Tribolium castaneum: one gene and its partner. Each later gene encodes a partner of the first gene's protein in a complex. Links are inferred from orthologs where the notes say so. Each region holds a gene or a part of one and is shown in the gene's direction. Other genes may lie near its edges.

The links.
Region 2: Arpc2 (region 1) and Arp2 share a complex: the UniProt entries of both Drosophila melanogaster proteins name them as parts of the arp2/3 complex. The link is inferred for Tribolium castaneum from reciprocal best matches to the Drosophila melanogaster genes Arpc2 and Arp2.

The regions. Positions count from the first base shown.
Region 1 is NC_087399.1:3,469,420-3,473,852, reverse strand, and holds Arpc2 (probable actin-related protein 2/3 complex subunit 2), read left to right. Parts: upstream 1-1,319; 5' UTR 1,320-1,429; coding exon 1,430-1,503; intron 1,504-1,654; coding exon 1,655-1,748; intron 1,749-1,792; coding exon 1,793-2,502; intron 2,503-3,149; coding exon 3,150-3,177; 3' UTR 3,178-3,795; downstream 3,796-4,433. Other genes in the region: EKC/KEOPS complex subunit Tprkb, read left to right, coding at 4,124-4,433. UniProt on the Drosophila melanogaster protein: Functions as actin-binding component of the Arp2/3 complex which is involved in regulation of actin polymerization and together with an activating nucleation-promoting factor (NPF) mediates the formation of branched actin networks.
Region 2 is NC_087394.1:25,851,478-25,853,975, forward strand, and holds the end of Arp2 (actin-related protein 2), read left to right. Parts: intron 1-24; coding exon 25-183; intron 184-237; coding exon 238-366; intron 367-1,045; coding exon 1,046-1,459; intron 1,460-1,512; coding exon 1,513-1,836; 3' UTR 1,837-1,926; downstream 1,927-2,498. UniProt on the Drosophila melanogaster protein: Functions as ATP-binding component of the Arp2/3 complex which is involved in regulation of actin polymerization and together with an activating nucleation-promoting factor (NPF) mediates the formation of branched actin networks.

The DNA.
Region 1 (4,433 bases):
CACTGCTCTACGACTTTTAGTTTTCGAGTTATGAATTTTTTTAATGAAAAAAATTTTTCACTATGACAAATGGCTACCCTAAATTTAGGCAAAAAATTTTAAATTTTTAATTCTTGTGAAAAATTGATATAATATGTAAAATGAGCCGTAGAATTCAATCGAACAAACCGCAATGCTCTACGACTTTTAGTTTTTTTTTTATGAATTTTTTTAGTGAAAAACTTTGATCGCCTCTGTAGCCGGAACCGTTGCCCGGAGAGGCTCCGGGTTTGGTCGAAAAAATAGATAAAATTACGCGCTATTAGATGGTTTTTTGTTCGTTGCTCTAGGTCTTACAGTTTCCGAGAAAAACGCAAAAAAAGGTTTTCATTTTCACTTTTTTTCAATTTTCAATCGCCAATTACGACGAAACTATTAAAGATATCGAGAAACGGAAAAATGAAGGATAACCGGAATAAAAAACTCTACAAAATGGCATAGGACTTAAGGCGATATCTCGCAATAAAATTTTCAATTTTCAAACGCCGATTACGGCCAAACTAAAAGAGCTAGAAGAAAACGGTTTGTTCCATTGTAAAGAGCACATCAAAATCTATAAGATAAAATAGGTTTTATTTGATTTTGAGACACTTTAAAAATTGACCGATTTTAAGGGGGGGGTGTTAACTTTTTTTTAATTTTTTTTATTTTTTTATTTACTACTAAACTATTCCAAAAAGTGGAAGTTTTTTGATCCATACCTATGCAAAATGATCCGGGGAATCGATTGGCATCGAGAAAATTGCCAAATTCCCAATAGTTTTTTAGTTATGAATTTTTAAAAATTTTACCAATTTTTGCATTTAGCAGCAATTTGCTCGAAAACTATTAGTCGGAGAACAATAATCTTTTTTGAAAAAAATAGATAATTTAAAGAGCTTTCCAACGATGGGACACTTCATAGAGTTATCTCTAATAGTTCCGGAGCTATTGCTCGAGAAATGTTCCGGGTACCCAAAACCGACAAAAACTGCGACGAAAATTGAAAAAATCAAACATCAAAAAAAAGAACATTTGGACTTTTTGTGGACTTTTAACAACTTTTGTGGGTTGTTAAGACATGTAGAAGTCCATAAAAATTTGCTGGAGTGATTTAAAAAATTTTTTTTTTATTTTTGTGAAGATAACTACTCAAATTTTAAGCAAAAAATTTCAAAATTTTTAACCTTGCAAAAAACAGGTATAAAACGTGAAATAATGTGTCGCAGAATTCACTGGACCAAGTATTTTATTTAAGTTTGGCGCTCTGTTTAAGCGACAGACCTACTAACTTACCGACCCAGTAAATGCCAGTTGACAGACAGACAGTCAGCCACAGCACCTCCCATGAGCAGTCAGACCTAGTAAATGTATTTTTTTAGTTAAAAACCACAATTCCCAATCATTTAAAATGATTTTGCTTGAGACAAACAATCGGGTAGTTGAAGAGACATTAACCGTGAAGATAAAAAGTGCCCAAGCCGGGTAAGTCCCTTATTTACATTAAAAAACCGACCGGTAGTTTCGGGGTGAGGCTTTTATCGCCAAATTCAGGCGCAACTTTATCACCAGCATTATCTAAACTCGGCTCACAAGGAAAATCTCCCAAACCATTGAAACCAGCCTATCTTTCCAGGTTAAAAAACGAGTCAATCGACATAACAGTATCGGACTTCGACGGTGTTTTGTACCACATTTCAAACCTAAACGGAGACAAAACCAAAATTAGGGTAAGCCCACCCCCGAGTAACCCCACATAAGCGCCCCATTCCAGATAAGCATTTCCCTCAAATTCTACAAAGAACTGCAAGAGCACGGCGCCGACCAGCTCCTCAAGCGCGAGTACGGCCCCCTTCTGGCCGCCCCTGAAGACGGCTACAACGTTTCGATCCTATTCGACCTTGAGAACATCCCGACTGATTGGCCCCAAGTCATCAAAAAAATCGGGCTTTTGAAGCGCAACTGCTTCGCTTCAGTGTTTGAGAAATACTTCGATTTTCAAGAAAACGGAGACGAGGGACAGAAACGTGCGGTGATTCACTACCGCGATGACGAAACAATGTACGTTGAGGCGAAGGCGGACCGAGTCACCGTCGTCTTTTCCACGCGTTTTCGGGACGAAGACGACGTGGTCATCGGGAAGGTGTTCATGCAGGAGCTCAAGGAGGGGCTCAGGGCGTCGCACACGGCGCCCCCCGTGCTCTTCAGCCACCGGGAGCCCCCCCGGGAGCTCCAGAACACCGACGCGAAGGTCGATAACAACGTGGGGTACGTCACTTTTGTCCTGTTCCCGAGACACACGGCAAGGACCACGAGGGACAACACAATAGATTTAATTCACATGTTTCGCCATTATCTACATTATCACATCAAATGCTCCAAGGCCTACATTCACAGTCGGATGAGGGCCAAGACGTCCGATTTCCTCAAGGTCCTGAACAGGGCCAGGCCGGAGAACAAGTCGACAGATAAGAAAACTATAACGTACGTCTTTTTGCTTTTTTAACAACTTATTAGGAGACGAAACGAAGTACAAAATCACAGGGTTTTTTCTCATATTTTTGCGTACGCTGCGAATACGGTTGAAGATACAAAAAAAGTGTAAGGAACAAAGTTGTAGAGAATTAAATTTCCTACAAAAAAGTCCGCGATACCATATTTCTATCTTTAACGGTTTAGCTATAAATTAACTCTCCGATACTTGGCAACCGGTAAAATGAAACAAATCCGTCGCTTGAGCGTCTTTGGACCACTTTGGGGCCAAAATGGTTGAAGATATGGATATGGTCTCGCGGACTTTTTTTTAGCAAATTCAATTCTCTACAACTTTCTTCCTTACACTTTTTTTGTATCTTCAACCGTATTCGCACCGTTTTGAAAAATATGGGGGAGTGCAAATTGGTAAAAGTTTGACATTTTTTTAATTACAGTTTACGATAAATTTTGCTTATGTTGAGAATTTAATGCTTCATCTGTCTGTATTTTTTGTTTTACTAACATAACCAAGGAACAACTGCGCTCTCTGGCGACACTGACGGAACTATCGAGAACGGAGCGTTTTATTTGTACGTCGTTTCGTATCCTAACTTTTAGACATCCGTATCATAATTTAATTGATTGATTTGTTACAGAGGGAGAACTTTCGTTCGACGGGATTGATGTGTATAGTACTAGTGAACTTTGCTTGTAAGATCAGCTCAAAAAAGGACTAATAACTGCCGACAATTTATTAAACTTAACTGTTTCATTCAATTTTCCCATCAGTCAGTTCTTGCACAGCCTCTCTTGCAGTTTATTTATTAAGTCAATCAATTGGTTCATTCAGTACTGAATGCTACAGTTCAGTTAATAGAAGTGCTGATTTTTCAGCTACTTGTGTACATAGATTCAATCTTTTAACCATGTGCTTCCTTTGAAATATGGGTAAGCACATCAATATTGTGAATTATATATTTCTAATACAAAGTTTAATTACATATTTTTTACCCAGTTTGCGAGACGTGTTTTAGGTTTTTTACTATGTATCCGCTTGTTGTTATCATTTTGATTCGGAACGATCCTTTTTACTATTGAGAACTTGAACCGCCAAATAAATTGTATAACTTAACATAGTTTAATAGGTAATAAATGAATCGTCAATTTCTATAGCAGGTTGCAATATTTTCGGATTTCTGTAGGCAATTGGACGCATTCTTCATGCTCATTTCATTTTTATATTACATTAACAGAGCAAGACACTGTTTAATTCAATAATAGAAAATAAAATGTTATTTTAAAGTCTGTGTATCATTTTTTTACCAACTCGAAAACGTGTGGCGACACTTGATTGAACTTTATTAAGCCAGGATGGCCAACTCAAGCAGTCATTTTGGATGACTTGCTACTAACGCGAAATTCCTATTATTTTAAATTATTAAAGGAATTTCAAAAGACTGTATTGAGAGTATCAATAATTGGGTGGGAGCAGCAAACACGCACAATTTTATTTGTAATTTTATTAATCATTTTCGTGCGTTACAGATTCTACAGTAGCGAATTTCTCGCCTGAGACTGACAATAAACCTAACCCTACAATTCCACATTTTTTATTATTCACCGTTAAAAAATGGTTAAAGCGGCATTGGACCCCCTCGTGAATAAAACCCTCAACATCCGTTTATTCCACAGTGTTGAGAACGTGTCCGACTTGCGTAAAAAAATAATGTCAGGTCAACTTGAGTGTTGTCTCGTAAACCCCAAGTTGATTGTGGACCCGTTCCAGTTAGTCGTGGCCGCAAACAAGGCCCTAACTGCCAAAAACCGCACCACTAAAACGATTTTCACTGAAATTTTATTCAATTTGTCTGTATCCAAACACATAACGAAAAGTTTGCAACAGTTTGGGATCACTGACGACTGTAGAGACTTGCTGGTGG
Region 2 (2,498 bases), on another chromosome or scaffold:
TTTTTATTATAACTTCAATTTTAGGACTTGATGGTTGGAGATGAAGCTTCCGCTTTGCGATCGCTTCTCGAGGTGAATTACCCGATGGAAAATGGGGTTGTGCGCAACTGGGAGGATATGTGCCACGTGTGGGACTACACTTTTGGCCCCCGAAAAATGAATTTGGACCCAACTGATGCTAAAGTAACATCAAAAAATCATAAAAATTGACTATAAATTTTTAAATTTGTATTTTAGATTCTCCTGACTGAACCCCCAATGAACCCCACGAAAAATCGGGAAAAAATGATCGAAGTCATGTTCGAAAAGTACGGTTTTGCGGGGGCTTATATTGCTGTCCAAGCCGTACTCACTTTATACGCTCAGGTTCGTTTACACAGTTGGTGGTCCAAAAATAATAATAATTACCAGAAAAGAATTATTGGTTATTATTATTGAACTTTTTCTAGTTCAAATCATTCTAGACAAAACAATTTCGTGAGAAGTTAAAAAAAACGGCTTATATTACCCGAAATGTGTTCTTATTGTTGTTATTATTATTACTATTGTTATTATAGACACTTAAAAACGAGATAACTTTTTAAAAAGTGGCTGTAAACGTCTTATTCTGACCAGAAACATCGACTTACAGATGATTCTTTGCTTATAAGCAAGAGAATTCTCATAGAACAAACAAAAAAAGTCTTATTCCATCTCAATTCCATCAATTTTTTGCTTAGAAACATGAAAATTTTTTTGAGAAGAGCCCAAAAACTGCTAACATCCGAAATGTTTTTCATTATTATTACTATTATCATTGTTAATAATAAATTATTAATTAATTTATTAAATTAAATTTAATAATAAATATTAGTTAAGAGCCAATTATAACTTTCGGGTAGCGAACGGTTTATCCACTAGTTTGGGAGAAAATGGTTATTTCTAATGTGGGATTTAGATGGAACAACCCTATAGAGTACTGAATTCCAAGGGACGTTATTTAAATCATTTAAAAATACTTCATAATTAAAATTATTTTTAATAAAATATGAATGTTTGATTCTAGGGACTTCTGTCGGGTGTTGTTGTCGATTCTGGTGACGGAGTGACACACATTTGCCCCGTTTATGAAGAGTTTGCTTTGCCGCATTTAACCCGACGTCTGGATATAGCAGGCCGTGATATCACCCGCTATCTTATTAAATTATTACTACTGAGAGGTTACGCATTTAATCATTCGGCTGATTTTGAAACCGTGCGAATTATGAAGGAAAAATTATGTTACATTGGTTACGATATAGAAACAGAACAGCGGTTGGCTCTGGAAACTACTGTTTTGGTTGAGCCTTATATTTTGCCAGATGGCCGTGTGATCAAAGTTGGCGGGGAACGGTTTGAGGCCCCTGAAGCATTATTTCAACCGCATTTAATCAACGTTGAGGGACAAGGCATCGCTGAGCTTGTTTTTAATACAATACAGGTTGCATGGTTTGTTTTTTCTACAGCTTGGTTTAATATTGCTTTGTTGTTTAGGCGGCTGATATTGACATGAGGCCCGAATTGTACAAACATATAGTACTCTCAGGTGGTTCCACTATGTATCCAGGGCTCCCTTCACGACTTGAACGTGAAATAAAGCAATTGTATCTAGAACGCGTACTTAAAAATGACATAGAGAAATTAAATAAGTTTAAAATACGAATTGAGGATCCGCCGAGACGTAAAGACATGGTTTTTATCGGTGGAGCAGTTTTAGCCGAAGTTATGAAGGATCGGGATGCGTTTTGGATGTCGAAGCAAGAGTATGAGGAGCAAGGCTTGAAGGTTTTGAAAAAACTGGGGCCGAGGTCGGCGTAAGCAATTTTAAATAATATACGTGTTTTTATTTTCATATTTAATTCATTCAGTGTATATTTAAAGGCAAGTTGAATAAATCATTTTTAAACAGTTGTTTTGTTTCCACTGGGAAACCAAATCTTATCGTTCCTCACCGGCAACGTAATAAGTTACGTTGATAGTAACATGAAATTTGAATAGTAATAGAACAATACGCTTTTTTTGTCGTTTATGTTAGAAATTGATGTTAGAAAATCATGCCTCCGAACAAATAAAACCTCCGAATAGAAGTTTTTGACCCAAAAAATTTACTGCTGCACTTTGCTAGTAGGCTGTGTTTATAGGGGTGACGTTTTTTATGATTGTGACCAGGCATCCCGAACTGATATAGCCAAATCGAGCCCTCACTGAATTAGGTTTTACTGATGATGCGGATAGATGGCCTTAGTGTTTTACGGGAAAAAGAAATCCTATTGGCGGATTTAAAATTTCAGATTATTGAAGAAAAACGTGGTGCCGATGCGCGGCTGACAAGTAAAAATTTCACAAACGTCACAAATTTCACAAACGTCACAAATTTCACAAATTTGAGTTTTATGAAATTATTAGTTTGTGAAATAAATAAATACGACACAGCAATAAAATACACCTACCTTCATATCGCTTCCACGTTGGCTACCGTT